Linked DNA regions of Caenorhabditis elegans. The protein of the gene in region 1 purifies or fractionates together with the protein of each later gene. This does not show direct contact. Each region holds a gene or a part of one and is shown in the gene's direction. Other genes may lie near its edges.

The links.
Region 2: the proteins of gpx-1 (region 1) and trxr-2 fractionate together in Caenorhabditis elegans (co-fractionation; one large-scale study listed by BioGRID). This does not show direct contact.
Region 3: the proteins of gpx-1 (region 1) and tpi-1 fractionate together in Caenorhabditis elegans (co-fractionation; one large-scale study listed by BioGRID). This does not show direct contact.
Region 4: the proteins of gpx-1 (region 1) and got-2.2 fractionate together in Caenorhabditis elegans (co-fractionation; one large-scale study listed by BioGRID). This does not show direct contact.

What each region holds. Positions count from the first base shown.
Region 1 is NC_003279.8:9,778,250-9,781,999, forward strand, and holds gpx-1 (Glutathione peroxidase 1), read left to right. Parts: upstream 1-2,099; coding exon 2,100-2,167; intron 2,168-2,223; coding exon 2,224-2,310; intron 2,311-2,754; coding exon 2,755-3,091; 3' UTR 3,092-3,164; downstream 3,165-3,750. Other genes in the region: F26E4.7 (FAS1 domain-containing protein), read left to right, coding at 76-193, 240-329, 370-451, 837-1,075; drsh-1 (Ribonuclease 3), read right to left, coding at 3,222-3,269, 3,315-3,438, 3,493-3,750. UniProt on the Caenorhabditis elegans protein: May constitute a glutathione peroxidase-like protective system against oxidative stresses.
Region 2 is NC_003281.10:8,912,080-8,917,151, forward strand, and holds trxr-2 (putative glutathione reductase 2), read left to right. Parts: upstream 1-1,689; 5' UTR 1,690-1,701; coding exon 1,702-1,962; intron 1,963-2,010; coding exon 2,011-2,147; intron 2,148-2,193; coding exon 2,194-2,278; intron 2,279-2,627; coding exon 2,628-3,164; intron 3,165-3,214; coding exon 3,215-3,557; intron 3,558-4,125; coding exon 4,126-4,274; 3' UTR 4,275-4,380; downstream 4,381-5,072. Other genes in the region: tpk-1 (thiamine pyrophosphokinase 1), read left to right, coding at 71-237, 292-372, 782-1,013, 1,058-1,169, 1,219-1,358; M-phase inducer phosphatase cdc-25.3, read right to left, coding at 4,425-4,904.
Region 3 is NC_003280.10:12,036,143-12,040,769, reverse strand, and holds tpi-1 (Triosephosphate isomerase), read left to right. Parts: upstream 1-1,630; 5' UTR 1,631-1,637; coding exon 1,638-1,955; intron 1,956-2,178; coding exon 2,179-2,280; intron 2,281-3,192; coding exon 3,193-3,516; 3' UTR 3,517-3,935; downstream 3,936-4,627. Other genes in the region: cyn-16 (Spliceosome-associated protein CWC27 homolog), read left to right, coding at 4,035-4,076. UniProt on the Caenorhabditis elegans protein: Triosephosphate isomerase is an extremely efficient metabolic enzyme that catalyzes the interconversion between dihydroxyacetone phosphate (DHAP) and D-glyceraldehyde-3-phosphate (G3P) in glycolysis and gluconeogenesis.
Region 4 is NC_003284.9:6,239,040-6,243,402, forward strand, and holds got-2.2 (Aspartate aminotransferase), read left to right. Parts: upstream 1-1,943; 5' UTR 1,944-1,964; coding exon 1,965-2,220; intron 2,221-2,270; coding exon 2,271-2,819; intron 2,820-3,037; coding exon 3,038-3,477; 3' UTR 3,478-3,670; downstream 3,671-4,363. Other genes in the region: rml-3 (dTDP-4-dehydrorhamnose 3,5-epimerase), read right to left, coding at 1-19.

The sequences.
Region 1 (3,750 bases):
TCTTCATATTATTCAGTTTTTCAAACATATCAAGTAAAATGTGAGCCATCATTTCATAATTGAAATTTATTCCAGAGCATCATTCCATATGATGAGCAACTTACAACTTCGATACTCAATGGATCCGTGGCAAGTTCTTACACCTGAACAAAATTTCACTTTCTTTGTACCAACTAATGAAGCGTGGCATAAAGTGAGTTGGGAAAATTCTAAATGCAGTTTCACCTATATTATTACAGCAATCAACTTCACTTGTTGCTCGAATGAATGATGGAAATCATTGGCAAGCACTGCAGTATGTTTACAAACGGCATATTGTGCAGGGACAGGTAGATTTAAATCTTTGAGTCTAAAAAAAACAAGTTTCAGGCATTAATGTACACAGATCTTCGTGAACGAACCTATGTAATGATGAATGATGAAAAAGTTGTGATTAGGAGAAGAGGGAGATGTGAGTTTCTTTTTGATTTTTAAATCTAATTTTTAACACTTTGCGTTCAAAAGATCAGCAGCTTCATTTAAATATTCAAATCCTCTGTGCAAACAGTAAGTGGACAAGTTTTTCCGCTCAATTCACACATTGTGTTATTGGCAAGGATAACACAAATGACAAAGAATGAGAAACATCTTTAGAACTCTATCATGGGGCTATGATTCTCGTTTGAGCTCTGGGAAATCATTTTTGGCAGTATGACGTCTCGTATAATTTTCCATACATTTGGTGAAAAGTTTTGCAAGATTTGACAGCAATAGAAATAGTACATGTTAGGAAATTTAGACAGATTTTAGGCGCAAATAATTTACGAATTCCATACAATTTCAATAATAAATTTCAGTCTTCGAGTTGTATTGGCCACGTGGAGATCGTCGAGCACAAGTACTAGAAGGTGGTGAAATAGCAGGAATCAATGGATATATGCATATGATTGATAGTGTTTTAATATATGAACCGGATCTTCGAGCTCATGCGTGTACAACTGAGCCAGTGTTCCTCCAATTTCTTGTAGTTTGTCTGGTTATGGTATGGCGACCCGGATGGTTTACTCCGTTTTACACTGTATTCTTCTACAGATAATTCATTTTATTTCTGTGTTTAATTTTTCAATTTAACGTGCCATCTGACATTTAAATATTTGAAACGGGTAGATATATTGAACCGCATTTTAGATATCATATTTCAGTCATTTTATCCATTTCTTTCTATCTATCAAATTTCTTTTGTTTTTTGAAAACATTCTATCTCGGTTATTTTAATGATCTGCATTGGTTTTTTGATAAAGCTGTCAGGGATATTTTTCTTAATATTAGGTAAACCATATTCTGATTGGAACACCGTTGACCGAGGTTATAAATGTCTTTGATTTACAAGTAGACTAGGCCACCAAATTTTTTTTGCAGCCACGTTGGAAATCTTGTGAAGTATTCAATTTTCAAAATAATCAAAATGAAGAACTACTAATTGTAATTTTAAAACAAGTTAGAACAACTTATTTTCTGACAAAAGAACTAAACTTTGAAAAATTAGTTCTATTGTATTTTCACAACTTTCTAAGCCGCGTAATAAAAGCGCATGGGTTTTTCGGCTAGGTGACACGAAAAAAAGTTTGTGGTAGCGAATTTTGTGGTAGTAGAATTTTCACTAATCTTTGAAAAACCAAATAAAACACGTTAAATCTAGATCAAGAACAAGAACAACAACTCCCAAAAAAGTTAAATAAATAAATCATATCAGAAATGCAACAGTAACATTTCTTTACCATCAACTTTCTATCGCGACAAGACCCATCCGAATAAATACGTGTACAATTAAGTACGCATTACAGAAATTTTCTGAGTACTGAAAAACTAAATAACCATGAAACTATTCGAACCCGAGTCTATTCTTTGTCCAGTCACAAAACACTACAACGTAGCCTATTCGTAGCTAGAGAGACGGAGACTTGTCATCATATTCATGTGGTTTATGCCTACTCGCGTATTTTCTTGCTCCAAATAAATTGTCATCATTTGATTTGTGTTCTATTACTTTTTCGTTTCATTTATAAACCATTTTCCTAAATAATTTCGCAAAAAAAAAATCATTTCCAATTATTTTTAAGATGTCTTCGGTTTACGATTTCAACGTCAAAAATGCTAATGGTGATGACGTGTCACTTTCGGATTACAAGTGAGTTATAGAGAAAACAATGAAAATGGATATTCAAAATTGATTTTCTTTTTCAGAGGAAAAGTTCTCATTATCGTGAACGTCGCTTCACAGTGTGGACTTACCAACAAGAATTATACACAACTCAAAGAATTGCTCGATGTGTGAGTTTGAAATGAAAATATTGCCCAATCGCGAAATATTCCGATAAGCTCCAAAAAAGCGGTGTCCGGTCTCGAAAAGACAATTTCTTTGCTAAATGCAAACGTGCTTTTGAAAGGACTGTACATACTGTAATGTACTGTATTGAAAACTTTTGTTGCTATGGAATTTTTATCGATTTTTCATAGTTTTTCTCACGATTTGTTTGCAGTTATGTGTTTTTAATTATTATTAAGTTTTTTATTTTACTTTTTTATTGAATACATATTTGACGAAAAACTATAAAAAATCGATGAAAATTCTGCAACAACACAAGTTTTTAATTACAGTACTCTTAAACGCGCATATCCGTGTATTTTTGTTTTTAACAAAAATTGCCGTGTCGAAGCGCAAAATTTTGCGGCTAGATAAGATTTCCATTTCTTTAAGACGACAAAATATTCCAGGTACAAAAAGGATGGTCTCGAAGTTCTTGCCTTCCCTTGCAATCAATTTGCCGGTCAGGAACCATCGTGTGAAATCGATATTCAAGCATTTGTCGCTGACAAATTTAAATTCGAACCAACACTTTTCCAGAAGATTGATGTGAATGGAGATAAACAGTCACCACTTTTCAAATTTTTGAAAAATGAGAAAGGTGGATTCATGTTCGATGCAATTAAATGGAATTTCACAAAGTTCTTGGTTGGACGCGATGGGAAAATTATCAAGAGATTTGGACCAACGACTGATCCAAAGGACATGGAAAAAGATATCAAAGAAGCACTTGGAGAGAAATTGTAATTTATTGCAGCAATTCAAACTTTCAAATTCAATTCGAAACAAAAAAAAACATACTTAAAATAAAGATATGATATTCATAAATTGAACCGAATCACATTCAAACAGACATAGTATAATTATAACCCCGTAATTAGTCGCTGGTATCTTGTTCAAGACGACGGCGCATGTTCTGAAACCACTTGAAAAGGTGTAAGAAATATATTTTGCTAAAAATAAAACTAACACTATTATTTTTCGCTTTCATCTTCGAAAAGCTCATCGACTCTAGATTAGCCAAAGCCAGCTCAGCCACCCGTAATTCAGCTTTATGAACGTTCGACTCAGCAGCGGATGCCAAACGTTTACCCCTGAAATAAATTATTTATTGCTTGTTTAGTACTGCAAAAGCGTTTTTAACTTACTTATAATATACAGCAATTTTGAAAATTCGATTATTGGTTGGTCCTTCGATTCCAAGTACCCGATATTCTGGCATATCTGGTTCCGAACTACTTGGATCACGCATTGCAAGACACCATTGCTGGAGATGTGACTTAGCATCATTCCATTTCTCGCTTTCGATAAAGTGTTTCAGTCTTGGACAAAATACAATTCTGATGAAAGCACGACAATGCTCGATTCCACGATCTACATAAAGAGCTCCAATAAATGCTTCGACA
Region 2 (5,072 bases), on another chromosome or scaffold:
ATAATAAGCTAAACATTTTAACCCCTCATCACAAGTGGAAGCTTACAAAAAATAAAAATTTTGCAGAGAAATGTCAAAGAAATTGAAGCCATTCGAAATTTTAGAGGATTCGTGTGCATCAGTATGTATTTGGCTTAACGGTGAACCTACGGCAATCAGCAATCGCGCTGAAAATTTATGGAATAAGGCCAAATATCGAGTTGCAACTGATGGAGCTGTTAATGAGATTCTTAAAAGGTGATCTAGGATCCAGAAATTGAAAATTATCGTAAACCGAGTTTTGGATTTCAGAAAGAGTTTCGTCGAATGGCCTCATATTATCTGCGGAGATTTCGATTCAATAAATAAACAGATTGATACAAAAAATGCAAAGTTAGTTTAAATTCTACTGAAATTAAAAATTAATATAGGCATTACTCAACTTCATTGTAATCGTGTTTCATGTTTGATAACATCTTCTATTAATGAGCAATGATAGAATTACTGTAGGGTTACTGTAGTGATCACAAAGAATTATTACTGTAGCGGCTGTTGAATATTAGCTAAAAGAATATATAGGCGTGAACGTTGAAAATAAAATTAAAATATTATTGAGTTGTGTTTTTAATACTGGAAGACTGAAAGCTACAATTCGTTGAGAAGAGTGTATTGACCAGGTCATAATAATGATTTTGCACTTTTTTTGGTATTTCTGGCTTGCCAACTAAATGTTATTCATTCTGTGTTCAGGACTAAAAAAATAAAAATATTTTGTCGAAAATTGTTCTTAATGTTGTTTTAGAGTCGTCCATCTGCCTGATCAAGACTACACAGATCTCTCGAAGAGCGTTCAGTGGTGCTTAGAGCAGAAAACACTAACAAGCTGGGAATTCGAGAATATCGTTGTTCTAGGAGGTCTCAATGGACGATTTGATCACACCATGTCAACGTTATCATCTTTAATAAGATTCGTTGATTCTCAAACTCCTGTGATCGTTTTGGATTCTAGAAATTTGGTTCTCGCTGTTCCTACAGTAATCCTTGGCAGGCCTATGTGAACATTAAGAGTTAAATTCAGGGGGATTCAAATCTTGATGTCAATCTTGAAATGACAACAAAAATGTGTGGAATCATTCCAATTGTTCAAAAGGAGACAATCGTCAGTTCAATTGGACTAAAATATGAAATGGGTATAATCCAATGTTTCAACATCATTTCTATTAAACGTTTCCATTTCAGAAAACCTTGCTCTTGAATTTGGAAAACTTATCAGCACGTCGAATGAAGTTACCACGAGCCAAGTATTTTTGAAATCTTCGTCGTCTCTGATTTTTTCAATTGAACTTGAAAATTGGGTCTACAAACTTGATTCTCTATAGTATCACATTTTATGGTCCCTCTTAATTCACAACTTTTCATTCCTTTGCTATTCAACTGTTCTATTTTCTTTTTATTCCATTTTTCCTAGTTTTCACCGGTACTATATAATTATCTACAATATTATAATACACTTTATTCCCTGTACCATTTTGTGTTGAAAACGAATTAATAAAAATAAAAACGAATTAATAGTATGAGATTAAAATTTTCATTTTAAAAGCAATGTTATTTGTTTAAAAAATATCCAATTCTAATGAATTATCTGCGAATATCCGATAGCGATTTCAAAAATCTAATGAAAATTGAAATTCAACTTTAAATCATTTGTAGATCAATTTTCTGATGCTTCTATCCACTTTCAAACGACATCTACCAATCAGGCGTCTCTTCTCATCAAATAAATTTGATCTGATTGTAATTGGAGCAGGATCTGGAGGACTTTCTTGTTCTAAAAGAGCAGCTGATCTTGGAGCAAACGTGGCATTAATTGATGCAGTTGAGCCAACTCCACATGGACATTCATGGGGAATCGGAGGAACTTGTGCAAATGTCGGATGCATTCCTAAAAAGTTAATGCACCAAGCAGCAATCGTCGGGAAAGAGGCAGGAATAATATTATAAATATTTAGAGCACTAAATTCAAAATTCCAGCTAAAACACGCAGACAAATATGGCTGGAATGGCATAGATCAAGAGAAAATCAAACATGATTGGAATGTGTTGTCAAAGAATGTGAATGATCGAGTAAAAGCAAACAATTGGATTTATAGAGTTCAATTAAATCAGAAGTATTTTTTTTAATTTTGTGGAAATTTTTATTTTTATGAAATTTAGAAAAATCAATTACTTCAATGCCTATGCCGAGTTTGTGGATAAAGACAAGATTGTGATAACTGGTACAGACAAAAATAAAACCAAGGTACGTTTGGAAAAATGAAAAAAGAAGTTTTAAAAAATTTGTTCCGTATACCCAAAAGTTTTGCGGCTTTTCGGAGGAGAATACGGTATCAGGTCTCGACACGACAATATAGTTTTCCGAAAAAACATAATTTATTCTAACAAGTTGTGATAAAATCTATAAAAATAATCTATAAAAATTCCGTAGCAACAAATGTTTGAGATGACAGTACTCGTTAAAGGCACAACTTTTCGCATTTGACAAAAATTTGTCGCGTCGAGACCTGGTACCGCATTTTTGGCGCAAACTTTAGGTAATAATAATATTGCTAGGAAACGGAAAATTAAAAAATTTCATCCTAGATTTTCAGAATTTTCTTTCCGCACCGAATGTAGTCATCTCAACAGGACTCCGTCCCAAATATCCAAATATTCCTGGTGCTGAACTTGGAATCACTTCAGACGATCTTTTTACACTGGCATCAGTTCCCGGAAAAACTTTGATTGTTGGTGGAGGATATGTTGCATTGGAATGTGCTGGATTTCTTTCTGCATTCAATCAAAATGTTGAAGTTCTTGTGAGATCAATTCCTTTGAAGGGTTTTGATAGAGATTGTGTGCATTTTGTCATGGAGCATCTGAAAACAACTGGAGTGAAAGTTAAGGAACACGTGGAAGTAGAACGTGTAGAAGCAGTTGGCAGTAAGAAGAAGGTTACATTCACTGGAAATGGTGGTGTTGAAGAATATGATACAGTTATTTGGGCGGCTGGTAGAGTTCCAAATTTGAAAAGTTTGAATTTGGATAATGCTGGAGTGAGGACTGATAAGAGATCTGGGAAGATTCTAGCAGATGAATTTGATAGAGCTTCCTGTAATGGTGTATATGCCGTTGGAGATATTGTTCAGGTACGATAAAAAAAGTAACATTTTTTTAAAATAAAAATGATAGTATTCAGGATCGCCAAGAGCTCACGCCACTTGCTATTCAATCCGGAAAACTTCTAGCTGATCGTCTTTTTTCAAATTCCAAACAAATAGTTCGATTCGATGGAGTTGCCACTACAGTATTCACGCCTCTTGAACTCTCAACCGTCGGGTTAACTGAGGAAGAAGCCATTCAGAAACATGGAGAAGATTCGATCGAAGTGTTTCATTCTCATTTTACTCCGTTTGAGTATGTTGTGCCACAGAATAAGGATAGCGGTTTTTGTTATGTGAAAGCCGTGTGTACAAGAGATGAATCGCAGAAAATTCTTGGTCTTCATTTTGTTGGACCAAATGCCGCAGAAGTAATTCAAGGTAATTGATTCAAAAAGAGAAATAGTCCGCCCCGCCCGTCACGAAAATGTTTTCTGAACACCTTCAATTTTGGAACAATGTTCGAAAAACCATAATCTGTTCGCAAAAACTTACGTGCTAAATCTGTTATTTTGAATTTTTTATCTTTTTCTTTATTGAATGAATAATATTACACATACGCAAAATTCTGCTATTTTTGCGCCAAAAATACGGCTTGATACGACAATTTTTAATGCAAAGAAAGTGTGCACCTTTAAATAATACTGAAAATTTAAACTTTCGCTGCTGTAGAATTTTTATCGATTTTTTAAAGATTTAATCACAACTTGAGACAATTAATAAATTTTTATCAAAAAGCTTTAAAAATCTACAAAATTTCTGCAGAATCGAGAGTCTGAAACTACAGTATTCTTTACAGGCGCGAAAAAATTTTATCGTGTCAAGTTCAGGTACCGTACTTTTGGCAATCAACTCACAATATTCTGCGGGTAGGTAATACTAACAACCTCGATAATCGATCAAGATACGAAAACTTTAAAAGCTAACCGATTGCACTAAATTATTTCAGGCTACGCAGTAGCATTCCGTGTTGGAATTTCAATGTCTGATCTTCAAAACACAATTGCCATTCATCCATGTTCTTCTGAAGAGTTCGTGAAGCTTCACATTACAAAACGATCTGGACAAGACCCAAGAACTCAGGGATGCTGTGGATAATTCAAAAAGTTTATTGACAAATCATTCAGTTTATTTATCAAAGTTAATTTACATCCTATTATCCTGGATACTAGTAATTATAATTAAACATAATAAATAGTACAAAATATTTGATTATCCTTTTTAAAAGATACCGGGAACTACATATTCTTAATGCGCATCGTGCTCATGGATGGGATCACATGTCTGACGAAGTGTCGAAATACGAGTTCCAGAAGTTGTTAGAATAGATATCACAGATGTTGTTGAACTCCATTTCTTCATTGGCTTCGAAACATTCTTCTTATGGAACTGGTGCTTCCGAAGCTCAGCCTTATAACGATCATCAAACATGATTACATAATTATCTGGCTCACAGAGTTGTACTCTTTGTTCCTTCTCTAATCCCCGCGTGAAAGCGTAAAAGTTTTTATAACCTCCTTCCAACAAATAAATCTCCTCATAATCACATCTCGGATAGATATTTGAATTCAGTTTTCTGTCCACTTCCCGAAGGTTGTTCGCCATGGTTGGTCCACGTTTTTGACTGTATTCACAGTAGAAAATGGGTATCCGGTTGATTTTCTTGGAACCATCTTTGTTGAAGAAGAAGTCTGCAGCAGTTTCTGGATTGAACAGGCTTTGAGCTCCCTGAAAAGATTTGCAGTTTTAACTTTCTGGTATTTTTTCAAAACAGTTATTATAATTCTTTTTTCTGAAACGCACACTTAAAGGCGCATGATTTGGTTTGGAAGGGTCTTGCCACGAAGGAAAGTAGATTTTTTATTAATTCTAAAATTAAATGTGTTTTCTGTTTTT
Region 3 (4,627 bases), on another chromosome or scaffold:
ATTTGACGCGTAAAATATCTCGTAGCGAAAACTACTGTAACTCTTTAAATGACTACTGTAACGCTGGTGTCGATTTACGGGCTCGATTTTTTGAAATAAATAGAATATTAAAACTAAGCATCCATTTTGAAAATCGAGCCCCGTAAATCGGCATAAGCACTACAGTAGTCATTTTAAGAATTACTGTAGTTTTCGCTACAAGATATTTTGCGCGTCAAATATGTTGTGCAGTACGTATTCTCTGAATTTTGTGCTCCCGTAATAACCCTTCCCAATCGAATCTATCCACAAACACTCTTCTGCCATTCACACACACACACTACTCAGAACATTACAAAATACGTGCAAACTCGGACTGCGCCTTCTCTCTCCGTCTCTTCATTGTCTACACTGTATCGTCTCGTTTCTCTCGACTGCTGCTGCTGGCCAGCCAAAAAAAAGAAAAATAAAATCGAAGAAACCCCGCTATCTCACTTGTTGTGTAGTCTTGATTTCGATTGAAATTTGTTTCGAAAAAACAATGTCGAATTCGATTTTCCATTGTTATCTCTCGTCCTTATCAAACGTTGGCTATTGATCACGATTTTCGAAAGTCATTTGCGTCATTTTTAATTTTTGCCTAGACTCTAGAGTATCGACTTTTCACGATTTTCTTGTCAGTATTCTTGTCGAAAAGTGACTCGAATTTAATGAAAATTTGTCGTGTCGAGACCGGGTGTGTCTCAAAAATCGTAAAATTTCGCCTCTGGCTAATTTAGTATTCATTGGCAAATGTAAGAAAGGTATATAGTTCAGCAAAAATTCCTTTTGTGTTCGACTCGAAATTATCTGAAATTACCGAATTTCATAATGAAAATTCTTGAAAACTTCTCAAAAAAAGTTATGGCGGTACAAAAAATGACCTGAAATTAGTTAAAATTTGAAATTTGACCGTCTTGTCAAGCGGCTGGATGCTAACTTTTTGAAATCATCGTCTAATTATGGGTATATAAGTTAATTATCTTGCGTTTTCAACTCGATTTAGGTATATTTGAGGTCGATTTGTCACCAGATTTGGTTAAATTTGGTAACATCTGGGGGATACATCGAGCTTAAATGTACCAAAATCGAGTTGAAACTGCAACAAGAAATTAACTTGTATACCCAAAATTAGACGGTTATTTCAAAAAAGTTAGCCGCTTGAAAAGTCGGTTAAATTTCAAATTTTAACTAATTTCAGGTAATTTTTTGAGCCGCCATAACTTTTTGGAGGAGTTTTCAAGAAGTTTCATTATGAAATTCGGTGTTTTTAGACTATTTCGAGACTACTTAAACAATAAAAAACGTTCGACTAGACCATCTTTAGATAGTTAAGTTTTTGCTGAACTATATACTTTTCTTACATTTGCCAATCAATACTAAATTAGCTAGAGGCGAAATATTACGATTTTTGAGCCATACCAGGTCTCGAGACGACATTTTTAAAAATTAAATTTGAGCCACTTTTTGAAAAGAATACAGGGCAAGAAAATCGGGAAAATCGATACTCTCGGTTTCACAAAGAATAGCAATTCTTCTATCGTTTTCTCCTCCTTATTCTGAATTTCTATCCAAATTTCCCTCCAACAAAAAAATTCCATAATTCTTGTAGAATCAAGATGACTCGCAAGTTCTTCGTCGGAGGAAACTGGAAGATGAACGGAGACTATGCCTCCGTCGATGGTATCGTCACCTTCCTCAACGCCTCAGCCGACAATTCCTCCGTTGATGTCGTCGTTGCTCCACCAGCTCCATATCTGGCCTACGCTAAATCCAAGCTTAAAGCCGGTGTGCTTGTCGCCGCACAAAACTGCTACAAAGTGCCAAAGGGAGCATTCACCGGGGAAATTTCGCCGGCAATGATCAAGGATCTTGGATTGGAATGGGTGATCCTCGGACACTCGGAACGTCGTCATGTCTTTGGAGAAAGCGATGCTGTTAGTTTAATACATTTTGATTTGATCTTCGAAAAATTCGGGAAAAGATCTTCTCGAGACGCAGACTTTTCCACTGATTTCGCAAGAGTGTGCTGACGTCACATTTTTCTGGCAGAAAAATTCCCGCATTTTTTGTAGATCAAACCGCAATGAGACAGCCTGACACCAAGTGTCAATAAAAAATTCGAGTTTCAGGGAAATTAATCTGAAATTTCTTTTTCAGCTGATCGCTGAGAAGACCGTGCATGCTCTCGAGGCTGGAATTAAGGTCGTTTTCTGCATTGGGGAGAAGCTCGAGGAGCGTGAAGCCGGACACACCAAGGATGTAAGGGAGCAAAATACTGGAAATTATCGATTTTTCGCAAGAAAATTTGAAAATTCAACATTTTCAAACTTTCAGATTTTTTTTCTTAATTTTTTCGGGTAGAAAATCGATTTCTTCTAATATTTCAGTAGAAAAATCAAGTTTTTGAGATTTTTTGAAAATTCCAAAATGGTTTTGTTTCGAATTTGCACGTTTTTCGGGAATTTTTCAAAGTTTCTTCTTAAAAAATCCCTGAATTTTATAGTTTTGAGCTCAATTTTTCCTCAAAAAAAACGCAATATTTCTCTTTCTGCAACGAATATTAGAAATAATCGCTTCGAGACCCGATTTTTATGAATTTTCGTGAATTTTGAACAGAAAACATTTAATTTTATCATTTTCCAAAAAAGCGGAAAATTCCAACAAAAAATGGTCGCCAAAAATAATTCTTTTTTTTTTTGCCAAATTTTCAACAAAAAAATTGGTTCCGGCAATAAAAAAGAAAAAACTCCTGAAATAGTCGTTTCGAGACCCGATTTCTTATGAATTTTCTTGAATTTTGCAGAAAAGTTCAAAAAAAAATCTCCGAAGAAACATTTTTATTTAAAAATCTTCGAAAAATCGATTAAATTCCCTATTCCACGTGGTAAAACAAAAAAAGTTCAAAAATAATCGCTTCGAGACCCGATTTTTTAATGAATTTTCGTGAAATTTATATAAAAATACAAATTTAAATTCCCAAAAACGCGAAAAATTCAAAAAAAAAAAAGAATCCCGAAGAATATAAAATTTTCGAAAAATCGATAAAATTTGAAACAAAAAATTCCTGAAAAATAATACCCAATTCCTTATAAATAAAGATTTTTTTTAATGTTGTAGAAAAATAAATTTCAAAAATCGATCGCTTCGAGACCCAAATTTTCCAATTTCCAGGTAAACTTCCGTCAACTTCAAGCCATCGTCGACAAGGGTGTCAGCTGGGAGAACATTGTGATCGCCTACGAACCAGTTTGGGCCATCGGAACCGGAAAGACTGCTTCTGGAGAACAAGCCCAGGAGGTTCATGAATGGATCCGTGCATTCCTCAAAGAGAAGGTCTCACCAGCTGTCGCCGATGCCACGAGAATCATTTATGGAGGATCTGTGACTGCTGACAATGCGGCTGAGCTTGGAAAGAAGCCGGATATCGATGGATTCTTGGTCGGTGGAGCATCGTTGAAACCCGATTTTGTCAAGATTATCAACGCCAGATCTTAAATTATTATTTATTTCCCCCTATTTCACAGATTTTTCCGGATTTCCACTGATTTTTCACCGATTCCCCTAAATTTTGGTCGTAAAATTGGTTGATTTTCATTGATTCCCCTAATTTTTAGCCGTAAAATTAGCTGATTTTTCCCGGAATTTCAGCTTCAAAATTGTAGAATTTCCCTTAGTTTTCCCCAATTTTCCCCCAGATTTCCTCTAAATTATATTGTAAAATTAGCTGATTTTCATCAATTTTCCCGGAATTTTGACCGAAAAAAATCCAAAATTTGGGTGAATTCGTGAATTTTTTGGCTTGAAATTTGGCTTTTTCCTCTCTACAGTGTAGATATTAGTAGCAGCTTTTTTTTCCAGTATTTTTGATATTCAAAACCTATATATATTTATATAAATAAATTTCTTGCCGACAAATAACAAAAAATCGATATTTTCAAACAATAGTTACTTGTTCTGTGTGAATATTTCAGCCGGCGATTTTCAGATTTTTGCGGAAAATTTTCAGTTTTCAGATGAGTAATCAATATATCAACGAGCCGATTACGACGGGAAAGGTAAAATTATTGATTTTTATCGATTTTTGGTGGAAAAAATTGAATTTTCCAGAAAAAATGACCGAAAATTTCAATTTTTATCGATTTTTGAATAAAAATCGAAAATCCAGTGAAATTTTCGATTTTTCCGATGAAAAATTCGCGTATTTTTGCAATTTTTAAGCTGTAAAACGAAAATTTTGAGTTTTTTTTATCTAAAAATTGGCTAATTTCGAAAAATTTTGGATAATTTATTGAAAAATACGACCAATTTTGCACTTTTTGCGCCAAAACTACGTTTCCTGGTCTCGACACGACAATTTTTGTTTATTGCAAAGAGGTGTGCGCCTTTAAAGAGTACTGTAGTCTTGAACATTTTTTTAATCAAAAAATCTATAAAAATTCGAGACTACAGTAATCTTTAAAGGCGCACATCTTTTTAACAAAAATGTGTCGCTTCGAGACCCTAGGTACCGTAGTTTTGGCGCGAAAATCGCAGAATTCGTCATATTTTTCTCTTTTTTTTAAATTAAATATCCGAATTTTTTGAAATTTGTCAATTTTTAGAGGAA
Region 4 (4,363 bases), on another chromosome or scaffold:
CTGGAGTAGGATGCGACATTATTCAATGCGAGTCAGGCAAGAATGAACGGTTCTTCTCGAGAAAGGCAACCTTTTTAGCCTTGACATCGTTCATATCGTGTCCTAGAAATCTCATCTCTTCCCGACAACAGATCCTGTTCTAGGCCGGTCTCGATTCCGCGATACGAAACCTCCCGGAGACAATAGATCCTTTTCTCTAGGCTAGGCAAAATTTGGAGTTTCTTTCATATTTATCGCAAAAATCATTTTGCACTCAAATCGAGAGAAAAATTGAGAGAAACAAAGGACTCAAAATGTTTACGGATGTCCACGTGAAAGTCACACAAATGTTGAACAATTTGTAAATTTGTAACACAAAGTGAATTACACAAAATTCGGGCGACAATCTAAAAGTAATTTTCAAAAAACTCTATCTGAACACTACAGGTTAGTGTGACGTGTGCTAGGTTTTGTTTATCAGAATTGAATGTATTGAAGTTTGCTCACAAGAGGTAATCCAAAATGATAACACTATACTCACAGGCAGTTCAGTTGTAAACGTTTTTGTTTCCAGATGTTAGAAAAATTTTTTAAACCATCTTACAATTTACATTTTATTTTATCGACCGTGGATGCGCTATAATTTCCGACAAGCAATTCAACAAAAAATAAAAATTATACCTTAGTTAAAGATTATAGAAAACTGGTTGCTTTATCTGAAAATCATTTTCCTTTTATTTGGAACAATCGAAAAAAAAACTCAAAAATTGTCCTAATCTTTGAAAATGACGGGAAAAAACTCCAACACTTTGGTGGATTCCTTTCCAGAATATATCCGAAATTCTTCACACAATTTTGAGCGGTTTTCCAAACGTCCAAACGTTAATATAAAAACCATTTTTCATTAACTTTTTTCTATGTTTTATATTTTTTCTGTACTTTAAATTTATTTTTTTTTGCTATCCCAAATTCAATTTTTGAAGTAAGACACCATCTTGAATTTTAAGACTTCCAATATCCGTGTGCCACCAGCACTTTTGACCTACCAACCTGTGTTCTCCGGCCGCGCGCGGACAATATCGAACCTTTGAGAGTGACGAACCACAACAACAACCAAATTTTTTTTCATTTATCTTGTTGGCCTCAGTTTTTCCTTGCCTTTTTACAGTCATTAGTCGCTTTTTTTCCGTTCATCAAAAATTCTTTGAGATTTTTTTTTGCGAACACGGTGCTGCTAATAGAAAAGTTTAAAAAATTATATTATTTAAACAAATAATTTCACGACCGAAGTACGGCGATTTTCTTATATTTTTTTTCGAACGCAGTTTACTTACTGTTTACCAGTTCTCGAGCGCCGAGTTACACAAAAACGACTGAATCGTCGAACCGCATGTTTCTCACGTTGCCGCGGCCGCCCGAGTTTTCCTCTGCCACCCTACACTCTCTCGAATCTCCGTACTCTCTAACCTAGTTTCTCCAGTTCTTCTCACTTGTCGTCTTCCTTGCCAGTTCGTGGACTGGGATAAGATGAGCAGACGCGTCCATTCTTTCATAGGCGGTGCAGTCGGTCCATTTTGTTGTTTCACATCAGTTGTTTTTGATAGAGTCAATAAGTTTAACTACAATTTTAGCCTAGTTTGATGCCACGCCGTTGCTAAAGGCTAGAAATGTGGTTAGTACCCTGAATGGAGTGTCCTAGGGTATCTTTTTTGAATTTAAAAAAAGTGTCCAATCAGCCCATTCAAACACCATTGAACACTCAAATAATTGTCCTGGTAAAGATAATGATACCCACGTTTTATTTTATTTTTGTTTCTTCGGATAAGGAATCATGCGTTGTACGTACTCTAGTCTTCCCTGCTATCAATGTTTCGTTGCTTCATTCTAATCGGAACGTGATTTCCACGCCTACTTTCAAAACGTCTTTTAAGTTCCCACTCGAAACATTAATATTGAATATTCAGGTAATCTTTCTCCAATCAACAATGAGCGTTTCCAAGAAGCTTTTCTCTACCGCCGTGCGAGGAAAGTCGTGGTGGTCGCATGTTGAGATGGGACCACCAGATGCGATTCTTGGAGTCACCGAGGCCTTCAAAGCCGATTCAAACCCAAAGAAGATCAACCTTGGAGTCGGAGCTTACCGTGACGATCAAGGAAAGCCATTTGTTCTCCCATCGGTCAAGGAAGCTGAACGTCAAGTGATCGCTGCCAATCTTGATAAGGAGTACGCCGGAATTGTTGGTGAGTGTTATAAACTTATTGATCCATTTGAACTCTTTATTTGTTTGCAGGACTTCCCGAGTTCACCAAGCTCTCTGCTCAACTCGCTCTTGGAGAGAACTCTGATGTGATCAAGAACAAGAGAATCTTCACCACTCAGAGCATTTCTGGAACTGGAGCCCTTAGAATCGGATCTGAGTTCCTTTCTAAGTACGCCAAGACCAAGGTTATCTACCAGCCAACACCAACTTGGGGAAACCATGTTCCAATCTTCAAATTTGCCGGAGTCGATGTCAAGCAATACCGCTATTATGACAAGTCCACCTGTGGTTTTGATGAAACTGGAGCACTCGCTGACATTGCTCAAATCCCGGAAGGATCCACAATCTTGCTTCACGCTTGTGCTCACAACCCAACTGGAGTTGATCCATCCCGTGACCAGTGGAAGAAGATCTCCGACATTGTGAAGAAACGCAACTTGTTTGTCTTCTTCGATATGGCTTACCAAGGTTTCGCTTCCGGAGATGTTGACAATGACGCGTTCGCTGTTCGTTACTTTGTCGAGCAAGGACACAACATTGTTCTCTCTCAATCCTTTGCCAAGAACATGGGACTTTATGGTGAGTTTACATACTAATTTGTTAAATTTGAATTTTACAAGCTGGAGTTCAATACGAAATGTATTGTTTTTGTGCAATAGAGCGCAGTTTCTTCTTGGTGTTGGAAGTTAGGCCATGATAACGCGGATATCACTGGTGTCGCATTATCCTATCTTTTCTACCCTTTTGTAGCCCTAACCCTGAATACTGCATAATTTTTATAATTTATTCTGTTTAAGGTGAACGAGTCGGTGCTTTCTCCGTTGTTACCTCGGACGCTGATGAGGCTGCTCGTGTTGCTTCTCAAGTCAAGATCCTTATTCGCCCACTCTACTCCAACCCACCAGTCCATGGAGCTCGCATTGCTTCCCGCATCCTCGCGGATCCAGCTCTCAACAAGCAATGGCTCGGAGATGTCAAGCTCATGGCTGATCGTATCATCACCATGAGAACTACGCTCAAGGATTTGCTCGCCAAGGAGGGATCTACTCGTAATTGGGAGCACATTACCAACCAAATTGGAATGTTCTGCTTTACTGGAATCAACCCACAACAAGTTGAGAAGCTTATCAAGGAACACTCTGTCTACCTCACCAAGGACGGACGTATCTCGGTGGCGGGAATTTCATCGAACAATGTCGCTTACCTTGCCCACGCTCTCCACCAAGTCACCAAGTAAATCAGTGACAAATGCACTCTTCCCATTTTAACTTATTCTATCTGTCATAATAGAATAATTTTCTCGTTTTCGGTTTTCTTATTCTCCGGTTGTAGAATGGCAGTATGCTTTATCTCATTTTTATTTGTAGCCTGTTTTTTTTCTGAGAATGGGAACTTTTAATAAATTGGGTTTCGACCTTAATCTTTACTGGAGTTGGTTATTGAAAAATGATATGCACGATATTTGTTTAGCAATTACGTTAATTCAATTATTCGATTCTGAAACGTTGTGTTTCTAACTGTTTTGAAAGAAATATAATTGTCAGTTTTCTGAAAACGAAAAATTAAAAAAAATTAATATCACTTTCAAATTTAAATTTATTTAGTTGGAAGTGTGCTTACAATGAATGGTATAACACGCACATATTTTGAGTTCTCTGAAACCATAAGATTTTCGAGGAAAAAGACAAAGTATTTTTATAAAATCAAATTATGTTAAATACATTAGAGAGTTAAATACATAATTATTTAACAAAATTTTCAGAAACTTTTCGACTTCAGATAAACGCATCGGTGTGGTTTTCTGAAACATGGGCGTAGAGTTCTGGTATTTAATTCTGCAAATTCAAGTCACGGTCATGGGTCAAAATAAATTGGTTAGAAAATCTATTTTTTTTTCAAAAATTATTTCAGCTTGTTTTCAAAATGCCTTATAAAAACTGAAACCAAAGATTACAAAATCATACCTGGACAGAACTCAAACTAGCCGTGAATTTTCAGATGGTATTTAGCTCGTCGCAAATCAACAACTTACTTCCAGTCAACTGCTCAAATAATATATACGAAATTGGTTCCAGTAGATTTCAAGACGATAAGTGGGATAAGCTGAGAAAATGGGCAAGCCT